4 linked regions of the Drosophila melanogaster genome follow. The protein of the gene in region 1 purifies or fractionates together with the protein of each later gene. This does not show direct contact. Each region holds a gene or a part of one and is shown in the gene's direction. Other genes may lie near its edges.

What was found.
Region 2: the proteins of KLHL18 (region 1) and CG5808 purify together in Drosophila melanogaster (affinity purification with western blotting; one study listed by BioGRID). This does not show direct contact.
Region 3: the proteins of KLHL18 (region 1) and l(2)37Cb purify together in Drosophila melanogaster (affinity purification with western blotting; one study listed by BioGRID). This does not show direct contact.
Region 4: the proteins of KLHL18 (region 1) and CG10324 purify together in Drosophila melanogaster (affinity purification with western blotting; one study listed by BioGRID). This does not show direct contact.

What each region holds. Positions count from the first base shown.
Region 1 is NT_033777.3:12,006,941-12,012,329, reverse strand, and holds KLHL18 (kelch like family member 18), read left to right. Parts: upstream 1-1,895; 5' UTR 1,896-1,956; coding exon 1,957-2,088; exon of another isoform or gene 2,089-2,165; coding exon of another isoform or gene 2,166-2,186; coding exon 2,187-3,040; intron 3,041-3,102; coding exon 3,103-3,361; intron 3,362-3,434; coding exon 3,435-3,917; 3' UTR 3,918-3,967; exon of another isoform or gene 3,968-4,229; intron 4,230-4,401; 3' UTR 4,402-4,854; downstream 4,855-5,389. Other genes in the region: GCC185 (GRIP and coiled-coil domain containing 185 kDa), read right to left, coding at 1-1,147, 1,208-1,307, 1,370-1,399.
Region 2 is NT_033777.3:24,814,399-24,818,975, reverse strand, and holds CG5808 (uncharacterized protein), read left to right. Parts: upstream 1-1,968; 5' UTR 1,969-2,023; coding exon 2,024-3,657; intron 3,658-3,719; coding exon 3,720-4,047; 3' UTR 4,048-4,073; downstream 4,074-4,577. Other genes in the region: Saf-B (scaffold attachment factor B), read right to left, coding at 127-173, 276-390, 538-565, 626-1,114, 1,240-1,359; CG34150 (uncharacterized protein), read right to left, coding at 4,112-4,278, 4,342-4,423, 4,484-4,577.
Region 3 is NT_033779.5:19,123,446-19,128,806, reverse strand, and holds l(2)37Cb (lethal (2) 37Cb), read left to right. Parts: upstream 1-1,830; 5' UTR 1,831-1,883; coding exon 1,884-2,233; intron 2,234-2,294; coding exon 2,295-2,431; intron 2,432-2,491; coding exon 2,492-4,061; intron 4,062-4,128; coding exon 4,129-4,756; 3' UTR 4,757-4,809; downstream 4,810-5,361. Other genes in the region: l(2)37Cd (lethal (2) 37Cd), read right to left, coding at 1-836, 964-1,093, 1,151-1,352, 1,415-1,534; Phb1 (prohibitin 1), read left to right, coding at 5,255-5,361.
Region 4 is NT_033777.3:16,644,566-16,649,016, reverse strand, and holds CG10324 (uncharacterized protein), read left to right. Parts: upstream 1-2,012; 5' UTR 2,013-2,089; coding exon 2,090-2,226; intron 2,227-2,275; coding exon 2,276-2,997; intron 2,998-3,070; coding exon 3,071-3,843; 3' UTR 3,844-3,945; downstream 3,946-4,451. Other genes in the region: CCT3 (chaperonin containing TCP1 subunit 3), read right to left, coding at 1-316, 383-882, 968-1,029, 1,088-1,121; Arl6IP1 (ADP-ribosylation factor-like 6 interacting protein 1), read right to left, coding at 4,266-4,451.

The sequences.
Region 1 (5,389 bases):
CGCATCTCCGTTAGCAACTCTCCATGCTCTTGCTCCTTGAGGTGGTATCGCGTAAGCAAATCCTCGTTGTGTTGGCGCAGTTCTATGCAGATGGCTTCCAACTCCTGCAACTTCCTCTGCTGATTATCACGCTCCTTTGCAATGACTTTGACCAGATTTTGCATTTGATCAAGCTTGGTCTGGAATAAGCTTACATTAAGGTTCCTGGCGTGATTTTTGGTGTTTTCCTGCTCCTTCGTTACACTTATCAATTGTTCCTTGTCAATTCTATGCTGCTGCTTTATAATGACTGCAAGCTCTTCGAGAGCGGTTATCTTCTTAAGTAGGTACTCCACATTCAAATTGCTCCTTTGGTTCTTTTGCTTCTGCTTCACTATTTTGGCTAGCCGATCCATTTCCTGAACTCTTTGCAGCAAGCGCTTGCGGTCAATTCCAGTGTCAATTGTTTGAGGATTATTGTCTGACTTTCCATTGTTCAGCTTCAGTTTTTCATTCTCGGCCTGCAGGGATGCCATCTTTGCGCACAACAGTTGCGAAGCTTTGATAATCTCCACCTGCCATTTGGAAACGGATGCGGCGTACTCGTGCTGCGTTTCCAGCAGCACGCACTTGCACTCCTTGAGGTTCTTCAACTTGCGGTGTACATCAATGAAGCGGTCCTTTAGAGAATTAAACTTCTTGCGTTGCTCAGAGTTAAGTTCCTTGATGTTTTGGTACTTTTGCTGCAGCACACTCGACTCTTCTTCCATCGTGGCGACTTGCTGGCGAAGACTAGCGTTTTCCGCCTCCGCTTCCTTAATTTTGGCAATGTCCACTTCCAAAAGTTCCAGATTCTTGCGCTGCTCGTTACCCAGAGCATTGACCTGTTGCATAGCCTTTTCCATGCGATCCACATTGGCAAGGAGGGCATCGTTTTCATCACTCAGTCGCCCAAGTTGGCGCTTTAGGCTCTCGTTCTCGATCTCGAATTGCGTCAGTCGATCGGCATCCTCTTTGGTCTTTCGTTTCAGATTATTCACTTCCTCGGTGAGGATGAGGTTCTTATCGGTGAAGTCCTGGACCATTTCCTGCATGGCTGGCAGGCTGCTCTGCTTCTCCGCCGCCCGTTTAAGGGCATCCTTGAGTCGGTGATTTTCCTCGGTGAGTTCTGAAAGAGAGTGGCTTGCATTATTCTGGAAGATTCCCTGAAACTCTCCATCAAACTTACCATCTTTTGCCTGTTTCGCCTTTTTAGCGATGTTGAGCAGGCCTTTGTATTTGCTGATGATTTCATCTTTGCTCAGCGCCTCGATCGGATTCGGGTTCTTCTGCAAATGCAAATAACAAGATGAGACGTCATCATCAATTCTAGCGACACCTTTTTACTCACCTGGGTTTCCCTCGGTGATGCGGCTTCCATGTTACTTGCTATTTTCGTATCCTTGCATTTAATAGCGGTCCAAACATTTATGTCTTAACTCAGATCAGTGGTTTTCCAATTAGCAAGCGACCCAGATTACTCGAAAATGTTTTTGGACCCTTAATCAATCCGAGCGAAGAAAACACTCCAGCCACACTAACAGCTGATAGGGCTGTCATCACCGCCCAATTAGTGATGAGCGTCTTTTTTTAAGAAGGTGACGCAAAAACGGAAAAATTACTAATTAAAATTAAATGAAAGAATAATATTGTCTTAAAAATATGTGCTTTTTAAGGATTTAATTATCACTGTTGCATAAAAAGGGCTCAACTTTTTAATAAGTATTATGAAATTACATTTTGGTCCAAGAACGTTACCTTTAAAATTAAACAATATGATTCAATAAATTTGTTTCACTACTATTGGTGTTGTTCAACTATCGAAGGAACCTCAACTATCGATTAATGTGACCGCTCACCACTGACCACCACTAGCTCTGCAGTACAAGCAACATTTGGCATCTCTACTGTTTATCATTTTCTTGATCCGTTAAAGTGATGGATTTGAGTGATAATAGCCAAGTGGAGGATCAATACTTTGTTTACAAGCATGATAAGCTATTCGGCGAGAGTTTCCCCCTGTTCAAGGAAATCCGCAGGATGGGCAAGCTGTGCGATGTCACCCTAAAGGTTGTTTGCGTGCAGACTGGGGCATTCAATCACCCGCAGCTCAGAGATACGTTCATTATCTAGCGTCTAAATATAAAATGCCATCCCAATTATTGCAGGTTGAAGATCAGACCTTCTCAGCGCACCGCGTTGTGCTGGCGGCCACCATCCCGTATTTCTATGCGATGTTCACCAACAACATGGCAGAGAGTCGGATCAAGGAGATCACCATGAAGGAGAGCGCCATAGAGCCAAGTGCCCTGGAGAGTCTGATCAACTATGTTTACAGCGGCCAAGTGCGCATCGACAACCAGAATGTGCAGAACCTGATGGTGGGCGCCAGCTTCCTGCAATTGTCCAACGTGCGGGATGCCTGTGCCAGTTTCCTGATCTCCCGCTTTCATCCGCACAATGTCCTGGGAATCCGCACCTTCGCCGACTCCATGATCTGCCGGCAGCTAATCGACGCTGCCGACAAGTATATTGATCAAAACTTTGCCAAAGTCTCGCAGTCGGAGGAGTTTCTCGCCCTGGACTGCGAACAATTGCTGGAGCTGATGCGCCGGGACGAACTCAACGTACGCACCGAGGAGGTCATCTTCGAGGCCTGCATGAAGTGGGTCAAGTACGCAGAAGACAAGCGCTCTGAGCTCTTTCCTCAGGTCCTGGCTGCAGTGCGTTTGCCATTGCTCTCGCCTCAGTTCCTGGCGGACCGTGTGGCCCGCGAGGAACTCATTCGATCCTCGCACCAATGCCGTGATCTCCTAGACGAGGCCAAGGACTTTCACCTCATGCCCGAGCGCAGGGGTCTGCTGCAGAGCTTTCGCACGCGCCAGAGATCCGGTGAGTTCTTTACCGGACAAATATACGCCGTGGGAGGACTGGCCAGCACTGGGGAATCTGTGAGCACGGTCGAGATTTACGATCCGCTCACCAAAAAATGGAAAATGGGCGAACAAATGTCCATGATGAGGTGAGTGTGCGAGGAGCATTTATTTCTATTCTATCCCATACTAATTGCCAATTTTTCGACAGATCTCGCGTGGGTGTGGCCGTTCTGAATGGCAAGCTGTACGCCTTTGGTGGATTCAATGGCACCGAACGTCTGTCCACCGTTGAGGTCTACGACCCGCGCAAAAACAAGTGGTCCCAGGGCTGTGCCATGCTCTGCAAACGCAGCGCCGTGGGCGTGGCCGCATTGGATGATTGTATCTATGTGTGCGGCGGCTACGACGGCGTCACGTCGCTCAACACCGTTGAAGTTTACTATCCAAAGTCTAACACTTGGAAGACTGTAAGTAAACAAACATTCTATGTAACCCAGATGGGTAAGAAAACTGATCCAACTTTAATTTCACTACCCGAAGGTTGCTCAAATGATGAAATATCGTTCGGCTGGTGGAGTTACCCAATTGAACGGCTACGTCTACGCCCTTGGCGGTCATGATGGGTTGTCCATATTCGATTCGGTGGAGCGGTACGACCAGGCCGAAGATGTCTGGGTTAAGATGTCGCCCATGCTGAATCGTCGCTGTAGACTGGGCGTGGCCACGCTGAACGGAAAGATATACGTGTGCGGCGGCTACTGCGGCAACTCATTCCTTCGATCCGTAGAGTGCTACGACCCTCAGACGGACACCTGGAAGCTGGTGACACCAATGAATTGCAAACGCTCGCGGGTGGCTCTGGCCGCCAACATGGGCAAACTGTGGGCCATCGGCGGCTATGATGGCGAGTCAAATTTGTCTACAGTCGAGGTGTACGATCCGGAGACCGACAAATGGACCTTTATGCCGCCCATGTGCGCACACAGTGGTGGTGTCGGAGCCGGGGTCATACGGATCGAGTAACCCACTCGATTCGCCTGCCAAACCCGTTTCTCTAGCCACACTCGTCTTAGGTAATTTATGTGAATTGAATCGATATAGTTTAGCCTAGATATGATTGTTGAGGGTAACCAAGCTTTAGTGGCACCTCGTGCGGCCGCCTCGTATGCAACTCAGCTCAGCTCTTGCAGCTCTATCAAAATTGTTCATATACTACTCACAGCTCTATAGATTTTGTCATTCCAGTTATGTAATTGTTTAGTTACTACGCCTAGCCTTAAATACTCATTACAATATTAATCCTCCAAATAAAAACATGTATAACGCATGTTATGTAAAAATTTATTAATGGTTGGTTTATTTTTGTAAGACGGGTAAAATAGTCCTATGTATAACTAAAATCAATTTCACACCAATTTAAATCATATTTTATTTAATTTAATTTAAATTGAACTAGACTCTTAACATTAAAGTTATCTAAAGACGTATTCTTTGTATTCATTTTCAGTCATTACCCTCGCCATTTGTAATCTTGAAATGTTTTAGAAGGTTGTTAAAGTTCAGTAATTTCCTTACAGTAAAGGGACGACTGTCAACCTTTTGCACATCGTATAAATCAATTGTGTTTCGACGATCCATATGGGCGGCGGATACGTTTTATTTGAACAATAATAAATGGTTGACAAATAACAAAGCAATCTGAGCGACAAAAAGGCGAAAATGGCGAGGGCAGCGCAAAAAGTTGATGGTCAATAAGCAGGCCTTTATGGAAGGCAGTGCACTTGTTTATTGTCCCTAAAATACTTTCAGTTTTAATTAAAAATGATTAAATATTATTACCCAAGTCCCAATGTCTATCTACAATTTTCTACTTATTTTGTAACGAATAAATGTACCTTCCCTCGTTGCATCTCAGTTGAACATGCGGAGTATCTCTTCCCTTGATATTTGTACACCTCCCACGCGCGGAATGCAATTTTAAATTCGATTTGCACCACCTGCTCAAAGTGCAGCGGCAGCAAAACTAATTCGGAGCAACAGGTGGCAATGGCGCATCCAAAAATAGAGGCTAACGAAACCAAACCAAAACAAAATCAATTTGCCGTCTATCACTGACCCATAAAATGCCATACGCACAGCAAAGGGTCATAATCCAATCAATTGCACACTTAACGTACATATTTCGCAGTTATCAGATGGTTCCAGCGATGGAGGACCTTATCGCCGATCCGGATACGATCCGGTCCTGTTCCCGATTGCCAATGGCTACATGTATATTTATGTGGCTCTGCAGCGGCACGGCTATTTGCACAAGCGAAAAGGCTTTGTGGCGGCGGTCTTATTTGATTTTGATAATCAAATCACAAATTGCTTGTCTATCGATGGGCAATTTTATTTTAATTAAATGCTAATTATGTTTACCAAATGGTTGGAGTAAATATTTGTTGCATCACCGGGGACAATTGTTTATCACCACCAAACTGGAGCTCGTTTAG
Region 2 (4,577 bases), about 13 Mb from region 1:
ATGTTCCTCAATGGTTTAGTCAATTTTTTCGACCTTAACTGGGTTCATGCTTGGTCTGATCATTCCCAACGCAAGACCATCCGAACACACCATTCTTATTCATGCTAAAACTTTAACTTAATTTACCTTTATCGTCCTTTTGATTCGACGACTTTCCTGAGGACTTTTGTTCACTATTTTCCATAATAATTTATGCACAATCATGTGGCGAAATGAAAAGAAAAAATATATTATGTTATTAGAAGACATGTCACAGAAACGTTTTCAAATCTTACCTAGAGTCCTTCTTATCACCGGATTTCTCATCCCTTTTCTTGGAGCGAGCTCCGTCGTCATTCTTCTTGTCGGCATCCTTCGAGTTAGACTTTTCGGATTTATTGGCCGGTTTGACTGTGAATCAGGATAACTTTTATTAACATATTAGCTTTATTTCTTGTATTTCGTATTTCTTAATCGATTGCATGAATACAAACGCCATGATATTTCTAGTCATGAATTATAAATTTTCTATGGTTTTGAGTGATACTGCAAACATACCAGACTTAATAGATTTGTCGTCGGAAGCCTGAGGACAAAACAAATTGGATTAGAATACATCAATTTAAGGCCAAATAGTTAAAATCACCTCATCGTGCAGCAGCTTCTGCTCGTCCTCCCCAATTGTCAAATTGATTGACTCGTCATTGTCCATATTTCCGGTGTCCCCGGTGTTTTCCTCCTCACCATGGATAATAGCCTTGTCGTCGCCATTGTTCTCGGCTCCATCGTCCTGAGCTTTCCCCTCGGCATCGCCATCACCGCTCTGGGGCTCATCGTCGTACACATGATCCTCATCCTCTTCATCGTCGTCATCCAGGATCACACACTCATCGTCCACATCTCCCACCTGGTCAATCTCATGCCCATCGTCGTCGGCATGATGCGAGTAGTCGTTGCCATTCTGGTAATCATCTTGCTGTTCCACCTTCACCTCCTCCTCATTGGCATCGATGGGCTCTTCCTTGATCACCACCTCCGACTGGAGATCTTTCATGGGCATGGCAAACGGCTTCTTGGCCTTCGCGCCCGGCACAATCAAGTGGGTGGCCGGGTCGAGCCCTTCAGCTCTGAGTGACTTGAAATTAGAAAAAACCAGGCGTTGCTTACACACATTCATAAATCCCCGGAAATTGCATCACTATCTCTATCGCCAGCGGCACTGAACCGCCATTTAAGTTGCATACATATTTGTGGACTTACTTTTTCAAGGCGTTCGATGAGCACCGCCTTGGGGCCGACTGTCTCCAACTCGCGTTTCTCCAGCTCACTCTTTAGATCGCACACGCGCAACTCTGCTATTTTCTTTCCTGCCTCGGGCATTTTACCTTGTTCTAGATCACTGGTCACTTGCTTAACTATTAATTGTCGCTTTTTAAGATTGGAATGAAATTTTCTGTACTTTTTTCCAGTCTCGAAACGTGTGAAAATTCTTTGACAAGTCTCACTGATACACACACAATTATCGAATGACAATCGAAAATGGCGATTACGAAGTTACGTTCTGTTTTTAAAATATTCAATCGATGTCAAGTATCGGATGAACTTACGCATCGTGTATAACTATTTACATTTACAGGTATGGACTTCTTTGATCAATTTGTATTTTCTTTATTTTTTTTCAGTTTTGTTCAGTTTGTATTTTTTTTACTTTTTTCTCAGTTTAGGGTACATAAAAAAAAATATTTTTTTTTCAAAATTTATGTAAAATACCAATTTTGTACAAGTTTCATATAACACCGACATAAGTCACATTAAATTAATAATTGTATTAGAAAATTTGGATAATTAATTTATACCTACAATTTATACACTTCTCTCCTCCGATGCGCAGTAGAGATGGAAAAACATCGATGATTCCTCGAAAAACATCGATGTTTGTGATTTTTCGAAAGCATCGATGATATCGATTTGGCATCGATGTTTCTCCACCTCTATATTGTTCTTGTTTATCCCTTGATTTTGCCGGTATCTGTGAATTCGCACAATGTCGGTGGTTATAGAAACCACGATGGGTGACCTGACCGTCGACCTGTTCATCAGCGAGCGCCCAATTGCCTGCCTAAACTTCCTCAAGCTGTGCCGGCTGAAGTACTATAACTTCAATCTATTTCACACGGTGCAGCAGGGATTCATCGCCCAAACAGGCGATCCGAGTGGAGCTGGAGACGGCGGATCCTCCATCTGGGGCGTGGTGGAGGGTCCGCAAAAGCGCTTCTTCGAGGCGGAGTTCCTGCCCAAGATTAACCACTCCAGTGCCGGAATGCTATCGCTGGTCAGTGCAGGCAAGAATCTGGTGGGATCCCAGTTCTTCCTCACGCTGGGTGAGAACCTAACATCGCTGGACGGCAACCACTGCGTTATCGGTGAAGTGGTGGAAGGTCACGAGGTGCTGCGCAAGCTAAACGACGCCATTGTTGACGACAGCTTCCGTCCTTACCAGGATATACGCATCACACACACTGTTGTGCTTGAGGATCCGTTTCCTAATCCGCGCGGCCTTCAGGCTCCAAGTCGCTCACCTTCGCCCAGTGCGGAGCGTCTGAAGAACGGGCGCATCGCTGCCGACGAGGATATCGATGACACTGATGGCATGACCGCGGAGGAGATGCAGGAGATGCTGGCCGAACGAGAGGCCAAGGCTCGAGCCACAATCCTTGAGATTGTCGGCGATTTACCCGATGCAGACATGGCTCCGCCAGAAAATGTCTTGTTTGTGTGCAAACTCAATCCTGTTACAACCGACGATGATCTGGAGATAATCTTTAGTAGCTTCGGCGTGCTTAAAGGATGTGAGGTGATTCGCGACCGCAAAACGGGAGATTCTCTGCAATATGCTTTTGTGGAGTTCGAGGATCAAAAATCTTGTGAGGCCGCATATTTCAAAATGGATAATGTGCTTATCGACGATCGACGCATCCACGTGGACTTCTCCCAATCCGTTTCAAAGGTCACCTGGCGGGGCAAAGGACGTGGTATTGAGGGCGACTATAGAAAGCTGGATTTTAACAATTTGCGAGACGACAAAGATCACAGGAAACCAAACAATGGCCGGTCCAGAACAGAAGACCATAAGGAGCGCAACAGGACGGAAGATTTTCGAAATAGGATGAGCTCTGCAGAGCGAAGAAAAGCGAGAGAACAGCGACACCAGGAGCAAAGCGAACGAGATGTTCGAAAGAATTTGCAAAGACGCACCAGATCGAAGGAAAAAGATGAAAAAAGTGTTTATAGATCGAAAAAATCGCAAAATGAGTCAGTCAGAGAGAACTCAAATCGCGAAAGGAATCGCAATGAAAAAAGGTCATCGAGGTCTCGGGATGCAACACATAGAAGGTACTCTAGGTCAAGAGATCGAGAAGAGAGAAGGCCTTCTAGGCCTAGAGACCAATTAGGAAGACGTTCTAGGTCAAGGGACCAAAAGGAAAGAAGACGCTCTAGGCCAAGGGAACAAAATGAGAGAAGGCGTTCTAGATCTAGAGATCAAACTGGAAAAAGACCGACTCAAAACAGAGATCGCAATGACAGCAGGCGATTCCATTCCCCTCAAGAAGGAAGACGTAACGATGAGAGATCGCATAGAGAAACCTCCAGGAATCAAAGAAGATCGCCAGAGCGGAGGTAAAAATGTTAAGCATCTGGATGTATACAAAATCTTTAACTATCTATCTATCTTTTTATAGGCAACAATCCAGGAACCGGGAAGACCATAGAATGGACACTCACTCAAGCCCTAACAAGAGTCATGAGAAGAAAAGAAAACTTTCAGTGGAAAAGAGCAAAAAGCAAGCCAAGAAATCGAAACGAGCAGCTAGCAGCAGTTCAGATTCGAGTGAAAGTTCCTCGGAATCCGAAAGCGACTCCACATCTTCAGATAGTTCCGAGGACAGCTCTAGCAGCTCCTCATCGTCGGACGATCGCAGCAAACGCAAAAAGAGTACAAAATCCAAGCAAAAGAAGTCCAAGTCAAAGAGTAGTCACAAATCGAAGAAGAAACATAATAGAAATTAAAGATAAACGACGTAATTAATCAGAACAAAACCATCTTGACTACAGCTAAATATTGAATATATTTTTATTTGTTGCGGGCCTGGACTTCGGCTTCCAGCGCCGCCATCGCAGCGCCACCGCAGCAACCTTCAGTGTTTTTGTCGCCGCGTTGCCTGCGCGGTTTTTCGATAATTGCGTCAGGATTAAAGACCACATTGTCGAGTCGCGTTGTCTCTGGCGTGATCCTTAGTTCTGTAAATATAGCCAAATTTTAATTTTGAGCGCTCTTTTATGTAATCGCCATGCCCCACTGACCATAAACACCATCCTCTTTTTTCTGGGCTTGGATGACATTCGTTCGCAGCTCCAAATCCACGTCCTGCGCCAGCTTGATCATCTGTAATTTGCCAAATTGCCATATATGTACTTAGTTAGAATTTACAAAAAGTGGTTAAACCTTTTGAATTTCATCCTCGCTGCTTTCATTACGATTCTGCAGGAAAGATTCGTTGATTTTTAGTCGTCCCGCCGCCAAAGCATTGGCATCCCCC
Region 3 (5,361 bases), on another chromosome or scaffold:
CCTCCACTTCGGCTGTAAGATTCTCCTTGCGGTAATGGTTGCGCAAAAGTTCGCTGATCGAGGCGCAGACAATCTGACGCACTTGAGCATCGAATCCCGGCGGCAGCCAGCCCGTGCGTTCATTGCACACAGCTCCGGTAAGTGGAGTGGGGATCTTCTCCAACATTTCCTGGATCCTCGTCATACGGACGTCGCAGTAGCGCAGCATGCATTGCCTGGAGCGCGGCAGCTTGTGCTCATCGAAGTAGGGATAGTCAATGTCCTGAACCAAATCAGAGACTCGATCCTCGATGGGCGCGAATGGAGCGTTCGCCGCCCTCCGTTGCTTTACGAACTTCTTAGCATACACGAATTCGGAGAGACCAGTGCTGAATCGGAGTCGGAAGTCGAAAGTCTGATAGTAGCGACTATTGAAGTCCTTGCGGGGATCGTAGCCGAAGCGAACATACAAAGTGCGCCACGGGCCGTTGCTAAAGTAAAATGCCAGCGATGGAGTGATGCACTTGAGTTTGTCGTTGGTCAAACCCGATTCATATTGCAGCGCGATTCGGGTCCAAATTGGGCAGTCATCGAAAAGTTTTTTGACCAATGCCAGCTGCTCATCCGAAACGTACTTGACCTTGAGTCGTTTAAGGTTTTGGGAGTCTGCCTGGGTGGGAAAGCTGTCCACCATGTTGAACGAGACCACGCCCTGGTTGTCGTAGGAGGACTTGGACTGCACGCCCAGCACCTCATGTTGGCCGTCTTCTGAGGGATCGATGCGATACGTGCCCGCATAGACAGTGTCCACGTGGGTGAACAATTCGGGCAGCGCCAGCAACTGGCTGTGGCGACGTCTGTGGGAAAAATACGATGCTTTTACATACTGAGCATTAAAATGATTAATTATACATGCTATATAGCTTTCAAACCAGGATCTCATTCTCTTGGTGCACAGAGCACGAATATGGACAAGTTACTCACTTAAAGTAGTCCAAGTCGGTGGTGTTTTTGGGTTTCAACTGGTCCAAAGCGTACGTGAGCTCCTGGGCAGCATTTGCGTTGTCACTTTTGGGAGTTGACCAGAGGGGTAGGTATTGGAAATCACAAAGCGCTTAAAGTAAAAGGAAATTAGAATATATCGTGGATGGAATTCCGACCATCTACTCACTTTCAAAGGTGAAGCTCCTGCTGCAGTGGCCCAACACCCGCACAAAATATTCCGGAGGCCGTTGCTTGTCCTTTTTGTGGCGCCTCACGGTTATGGATAGCAGGACACCAGTCTTATCCGTGCAGTCCCCAAAAGTGGGTTTGTTGTAGGGATTCTCCGGATGGAAGTGCAACGCCAATCGTTTCACTTCGTCGCCCAAAACCTGTGCATGGAATAAGATATCAGCCAAGTTGCCCGATTGCCTGACCAGGTTGAATTCCATACCTTAGACACATTGATGATGCCGCCCAGAGTGGCTATCATCCGATCGGGATTTACCACTCGGCCGGGGTACTCGATCAACTCATATTCTTTCTGCGGATTGAAACTCAATTGGCGCGACATGATATGAAACTGAGGTGAGTTTAACGAATTAAACAGCTGTTAGGGGAACAGTGATGCTCTCTACTAATAAATTCGAGCAAAAAAAAATGAGCAACACACAAAATTGAATGTGCCATGAAGGTGTACCCATAAGTCCTTTAAAACTAGTTATTGCCACAAATAAGCCTATAATATAAGAAACATAATTTGTAATAAAATAAATATAGAATATTATATATATATATAATATATTTTTAGCAATTTGATTATTATTGTTTGCTCACCCAGTGCTGAAAATAGCTAGCTTGGCAGCACTGCATGTTATCGAATTACCTATCGCTAGCCGGTTTGTTTATAGGCAATCTTGAAAATGTCGGGTAAAAACAGAAAACGCACGGCCAGCAGCAGCAGCAGCGGTGAGGAGCCGGACAGCGAGGAAGAGTCTCGCCTAAAGGACCTGCAGGAGCGCGACGAGTTCGCCAGCCGGCTGAAGAAGCGGGATGACGATCGGACGCGCAATGTGGTTGATTCCACCGGCGGACGAAGGGCCATCGAGGAGGCCACCAAGCGACTGAAGCTTGAGCATGAGGATCGGGACAAGATAGTGCCTCACCTGCGTCTGCAGTCGCGTCGCCAGTACCTGGAGAAGCGCAAGGATGACAAGGTGGCCGAGCTGGAGGCGGACATCCTGGACGATGAGTACCTCTTCGATGAGAGCGTGTAGGATCATAGCTTAATCCTTACCTACATAGGTATCCAAATAATCCTGGTTTGCTTTCAGCCTGACCAAACGGGAGAAGGAGGAGCGCGAGTACAAGAAGCAACTGCTGAACATCGCCAAGGAGCACGAGAAGGCGCGGGAACTAGAGCGCATCCAGCGTTATAATATGCCGCAGGACCTGAAAAAGGGAGAGCGATGTATGTAGACAACGTACGTTGGTCCTCGATAAATACTTATATGTTATTTTTCCACTTAAGCTGAATACGTTGAGGTTGATGAGTTTGAGAAGCAACCCAACTCAGAGCAGAAGAAATGGGAGGCTGAACAGCTGGCTTCGGCGCGTTTCCATTTCGGCGCGAAAGATGCCAAGGCGGAGGAGGAGTATGAGCTGCTACTTGACGATCAAATCGATTTCATCCAAGCCCTTACCCTGGACGGAAGTCGAGAGAAATCATCTAGCCGACAGCCCGAACTCACGGAGAAGGAACGCAAACGTTTGACATTGGACGAAACCAGAAGATCACTGCCCGTTTATCCGTTCAAGGAGGATCTGATTGCTGCTGTAAAGGAACATCAGGTGCTCATCATCGAAGGAGAAACAGGCTCGGGCAAAACGACACAGGTGCCGCAGTACCTCGTGGAAGCTGGTTTCACCAAGGACAAGAAGATGATCGGATGCACGCAACCACGTCGTGTGGCCGCCATGTCGGTGGCAGCACGCGTGGCCGAGGAAATGGGCGTGAAGCTGGGCAACGAGGTGGGCTACAGCATCCGTTTCGAGGACTGCACCTCGGATCGCACCATTCTCAAGTACATGACGGACGGCACCCTGCATCGAGAGTTCCTTTCGGAACCCGACTTGGCCTCCTACAGTGTGATGATTATCGATGAGGCTCACGAACGGACACTGCACACGGACATTTTGTTTGGCCTGGTCAAGGATATTGCTCGCTTTAGACCAGAGTTGAAGCTGCTCATTTCCAGTGCCACTCTGGATGCGGAAAAGTTCTCCGCGTTCTTCGATGATGCACCCATCTTTCGGATACCTGGTCGCCGCTATCCAGTGGACATATTCTACACCAAGGCTCCGGAAGCGGACTACATCGACGCGTGTTGCGTTTCAGTTTTGCAGATTCATGCCACTCAACCTTTGGGCGACATTCTAGTCTTCCTCACGGGTCAGGATGAGATCGAGACTTGCCAGGAGGTTCTGCATGATCGCGTAAAGCGGCTGGGCTCCAAAATACGTGAGCTGATCGTTATACCCGTCTATGCGAATCTACCGAGTGATATGCAGGCCAAAATCTTCGAACCCACACCGCCGAATGCCCGAAAAGTTATCCTGGCCACAAATATCGCAGAGACTTCGCTAACCATCGACAACATCATTTATGTAATTGATCCTGGGTTTGCCAAGCAGAACAATTTTAATTCCCGCACTGGCATGGAGTCGCTTATGGTGGTGCCCATTTCCAAGGCCTCCGCCAATCAGCGAGCGGGCAGAGCGGGACGAACTGCTCCGGGAAAGTGCTTCCGTCTGTATACGGCGTGGGCATACAAGCATGAACTGGAGGACAATACCGTTCCGGAGATACAGCGTATTAATCTGGGCAATGCGGTGCTCATGCTAAAGGCTCTGGGCATCAATGATCTGATACACTTCGACTTTCTGGACCCTCCGCCGCACGAGACACTGGTATTGGCTTTGGAGCAGCTATATGCCCTGGGTGCACTTAATCACCATGGAGAGTTAACCAAGCTGGGTCGACGGATGGCCGAGTTTCCCGTGGATCCCATGATGGGCAAGATGCTGCTGGCAAGCGAAAAGTATGTAATCGATCTAACAAACCAGAAGTGAAATAATTCGTATAATATTCGTATATTTTTGTTTTAGATACAAATGCTCCGAGGAGATGGTGACCATTGCAGCCATGCTGTCCGTGAATAGCGCCATTTTCTACAGGCCCAAGGACAAAATCATTCACGCGGACACAGCCCGAAAAAACTTCAATCACATGCACGGCGACCACTTGAGCCTCCTGCAGGTCTACAATCAGTGGGCGGAGACGGACTACAGCACCCAGTGGTGCTACGAGAACTTCATCCAGTACAGATCGATGAAGCGGGCTCGCGACGTGCGGGAGCAGCTGGTGGGACTGATGCAGCGTGTCGAGATCGACATGGTCAGCTGCCTGCCAGAAACAGTAAACGTGCGCAAGGCAGCCACCGCTGGTTACTTTTACCATGTGGCGCGACTCTCGAAGGGCGGTCACTACAAGACCATCAAGCACAATCAGACCGTGATGATACATCCGAACTCCTCGCTCTTTGAGGAGCTGCCGCGCTGGGTGCTCTATCACGAGCTGGTGTTCACCTCCAAGGAGTACATGCGTCAGGTTATAGAGATCGAGAGCAAGTGGTTGCTGGAGGTGGCTCCGCACTACTACAAGGCCAAGGAGCTGGAGGATTCGACGAACAAGAAGATGCCAAAAGTCGCCGGGCGAGCCGAAATGGCGCAATAATTTTGAGGGGGTTTTTAGTTTTCAATTAATAATAAACTTTTATTGTAAATTTCACCATTTGTAGTTTGATATTGTAAACTGGCTTTGTTTATTATTATTCTTTTTAAATTTCGATAATCGATAATCTTAGGAAACAATCGAATACGATTCTTATTAGTACGTTTCGATATATGGCGGCCCCACCGACAGTTGTATTATCGATAACAGGCCGTGTGGTTGTATTTCGTGTTTTGCATTTCAAAGAGCAAAATTGCACAATAATTTAATTTAAGTGCAACCAAAAACCTTTAACAAGTGAGTCTATGAGCGAGCCGAGCTAACTGCGTTTGAAGACCAGGAAGAACAGGGGATAAAAACACGCAAACAGCACATTGTCATTAAACCATGACGTTCTAACCTAAAAACTGATGAAATTTCCAAGTCCAGTCGGCTTTCATTTACATATATAGTTTATAGAACAGTAACTAAATACATTACGTTTGTTTTATTCAAAGGATAATGGCTGCTCAGTTCTTTAATCGCATTGGCCAAATGGGCCTCGGAGTGGCCGTTTTGGGTGGCGTTGTCAATTCGGCATTATATAATGTGGAAGGCGGCCACCGGGC
Region 4 (4,451 bases), 4.6 Mb from region 1:
GTGCTGGGCGAGATCGGAGACACCCTTCTCAGTGAATACCAAATCCGGTTTCACGGCAATGATGTCGGCGCAGATGCGCTGCACAAACTCCTCCTCGATCTGCAGCATGCGGGTGAAGTCTTGCTCCCCGATTATCTCCACGTTGGTTTGGCTCTCGCCCTTCTTGTACTCCAGCGAGCAGTCAAGCAGCACGATGCGGGGATTCTCGATGAGGCGTCGCATCTTGGGATGCGTCACGTCTTTGTTGATCATCACGCCCTTAAGAACACACGACTCCTCGATGGCGCCACCCGGGATCTTCTCCACCTTGGCATAGCTGTGAAAGTAACAAAGTTAAAATTATTTATTCAAAAATAATATGCATAACAAATTTCGTTCTTACCGTTTAATGTCTACCTCCAGACGGCCGTTCTCACTTAGCGTCACTGTCTCGACTGCGTCCAGGGCAATCTTGACGGCAAGGTCGGACCACTTGCCAATGAACTTGGTGCCCACACAGGCCTTGACCACATCGGCCATCTTGGCCTTATCCTTGACGTCCAACTGGATGCTAAGCTGGGACTGCAGGTGGCCGACGATGTCCTCGAGGGCCTCGCGATAGGCGCGAATGATAACAGTGGGGTGGATCTGTTGCTGGAGGAAGGGCTCGGCGGCGGCCAGCATCTCGCCGGCCAGGACGATGACCGATGTGGTACCATCGCCAACCTCCTCGTCTTGTGTGCGAGCAATTTCAATCATGCTCTTGGCCGCCGGGTGCTGCACAGTGATCTCACGCAGGATGGCGTTGCCATCGTTGGTCATCACGATGCCGCCCATTGGGTCCATCAGCATCTTCAGCATGGCCTGTGGCCCCAGACATGTGCGTATCACATCGGCGATGGCCTGGAAAAAGACGTTTTAATCAACAGATGGTCGGAAAACGCGAGAACACAAAAACCCAAGACCCAGACATGTGAGTCACGCATACCTTTCCGGCTTGGATGTTCTCCAACTGCACTTTGCGGCCCGATTCTCTCTTTGTGTTTTGACCTGTCGGCGGGTAATTCGATTGCAATTGGGCTCTACGACGTGCAAATTTCATACTCACTCAACACGAGTATTGGCTGCTGTCCACCGAACATCTTTCTGGCTGTTTAATTTATTTCTGCGTGAAAACAATTGAACTCGTGCTGGCGCTGCCGCTGTTTGAAAGAGAATGAGTGAGGTTAGAACCGCCGATGACACATTATTCGAGAAGGTTCGATAGGATATTGAGCGGACCGGCTTGTTAGTTACTTCTGCCAGTTCCTTCTTCTAGTTTCTTTTCTTTCCTCACTTACTGCTAACTGACTTTTGCGATCGCTTATAAGTTTAATTCAAATTCTCCACAATTCGAAGCAGCAGCTCTCTTAAGAATCGATATCGAGAAACAGTATACTTACACTATGCAGCTTTTGTTATCGATGTCACAGAATTACATTCGTCATAACTGCGATTTTTTGAAGGCGCCTAACTTGGTTTTAAATTTTCCACCCTGAGGTTTAAGCGAAATCAAAACATTAAACTTGTAACAATAAATAATATTTTCTACGGTGTAAGTGATACTGGAAATTAATTTATATTACGAATGGATTTTAAATTTATGTTATATAGCATATTTCTATCACATCATAATTAAAATGTGGAAATTTTGAAGCCTAAAAAGCCTAACCAACTAAACTCAAAAGAAGTTAAAATATAATTTATGAAAATTGTATCACCTTCGAAAAAGAAAATGTTGGAGGATATTCTGAATATAACGGGGGAAAAGTGATTACTTGGAATGATGAGTTACATAAACAGCGTCGAACTTTTTAATATTTGAAGATCCTGTGCTGTATTCAATAAAACTGCTCAAAACGTATTAAATGGATTTCATGGTAGTTTTTATATATAAATGGAAAAACAAATAAGTTTTGCAAATACTTTAAAAGTGTAGTGTAAGCGTTTCATAAATTAAATAAATTATCGATATCGATAACAAACCGCGAGTCAGCTGTGGCCTGTTTGTTTACGATACATTTCGGCTTCAATTTGTTTTTAATAGTTATTAATTTTTTAACTAGACAACATGGAGGCCAAGAAGATATCTTTTGGCTTTAGTAAATTGTCCAAGAAACCAAACATTCTGCCCAGCAAGCAGCCGAAAGAGGAAAGCAAGGTGGAGTTGATAAAATGCTTGGAAGGAAACGAAATCATGCCAGTCGAGTAAGTTAAAATATCTTGAAATAGTTTTATACTCATATGTAATATTTAGCGAAAAGGTGGAAGCTGCTCCTCTTACCATCAAAATGATAGGCATGCAGAAGACTTCGTCCGCTTTGGCGAGTCTGATGAGGAGGCGGGCAGTTCTGCTGGGCGAGGAGGAACCGGATCCAGAGGAGGTGACTCCAGTGGCTCAGTCTATAGCAGAGGTCACCGCAGGCGGTCCAACGGAGAGTCTGGAACAGAGAGCAGCTCGGGAATTGATATCTGCCATCCAAAATAACGGTGCCGAAGGCCTAGATGACCAGAAACTTGTCCTGCCCGCCCTAAGCGCAGACGAACTGCCTCTCGATGGTGCCAAGGAGGCAACACTAGATGACTATGACAACATACCGATACAACAATTTGGCCTAGCCATGCTGCGCGGCATGGGCTGGGTTGATCCACCGCCAAAAAAGAAGGGCTCAGGACCCATCGATGATGCCCCCTTTCTGCGACCCAAAGGCATGGGCCTGGGAGCAGATAAGGCGCTCAAACCTAAAGCTCTACTGGTCCAGCCGGAGAAGAACGAGGTACTGGAGATTAAGAAGCAGGCGTACGTGCGCATTCTGGGCGGAAAGCAGAAGGATCAGTATGGCCAAATCCAAGGTTTTGATGACCATGCAGGGCGAGTAATTGTCAAAATGGCAATTGGAGGGGCCAAAGAGGCGTTCAACGAGTTCCTTTGTCAGCCCGTATCCCGCAAGGAGTACTCTCAGTATGGCAAGTGCATAAGTAAGTGGAGCCTGGAAAATGCAAATCCTTTATATTTGTGACATTTTTATATTTCTTTTACATTTACTTTCAGACACTGCCAAATACGAAGAATTCAAAAAAAATGAAAACGAGCATGGCCAGATTATTGTGAAGCAGGAAAATCCGTCAGGAAGAAGGGACAGAGACCGCAGGGAAGAAATTAGATCAGACCGGGATGAAGCTCAAAATCAAAAGAGTTCGAAGCCAGGGGACCAGAGATCTAGTAAAGAAGACTATCGCATGAAATGCAAGGAAGAAGATAAAAGGTCTTACAAATATGAAGACAAAAAAACGTACAAAGACGAACATCGCAGGACGTACAAAGACGAGCGAAAATCGTACAAGGAAGCCAAATCTAACAAAGAGGAGGTGGATCGAGAAAAGAAGTATGTGCGGAGTGGTAGCTCCTCTGTATCTAAACGCGAGGAACGTGAGCGTCGTCGTTCGCCGAGTCCCAGAGGCAGAAGCCCATCTAAGTCGAAGCGGGAAGACCGTGACCAAAAGCGTTCGCAAAGTCCCCGAAGCACCAGAAGAACAAAGAGTAGTTCAGACGAGGCAGACGATACGGGAGAGTCCACCGAGAGCGACTCCGACTCTGCATATGAACGCAGGAAGCACAAGAAGAAATCATCCAGCCACAAGTCAAGAAAACACTCAAAGAAGTCCAAGAACAAGTCGAGAAAGGCGGACAACGACTCCAGCTTAGAGAGCGATGACAGCCTCGGTGAAAACCATCGTCGTCACCACAGCAAGCACAAAAAGAAGACCAAGAGGAGCAAGCATGTCAGGTCCCGCACGCGATCAAGGTCAAGAGACCGTCAGTGATTGATCTATTTAGTTGAAATCTTTATTTAAATATAGTTCATTAGACGCTTAAGTTCCTTTTTTTATCTTACTTGGGATTATCATAAATTTCAATTAACTCACAAAATAATCACAAAAATGCCTTGTCTTTTGTTGCGCGTTTTTTTCTCTCTCCGTACGCCTCGTTTCGAGAATACTTCTGTCTTACATGTTACAAACTTATAGTAGGAGATGTGATGGGGCCAGAACCACGGATTTGCTAGTTTTCCGAGTTTTTTTTTTCTGTATGCGCTGCTCTTATCTTTTAAGATATTTATAGTTTCAAATTCAATGCGCCTAATGTGTGATTTAGTGATGCGATGTGTGCATAATGGCAAGTAGATGACTTAGGCATGTTTTATATTTTTGGTCAAATGGTGATGAGTTTATCTGGTTGCTTTCCTTTACTGCAGCTTCCTTTTGCCGCACTGGATCTTCTCGTTAATAATCTTCGAGGCCCTTTGGGTGATGGCCTTAAAAATGTCCTTGTTCTGTAGTCCTGGCCACATGAGGATGAGTAGGGTGGCCAAGTACATAAGCAGTAGATTGTTAATGATGGCTCCAATCCAGGCCATAGCCAAAAGACCCAA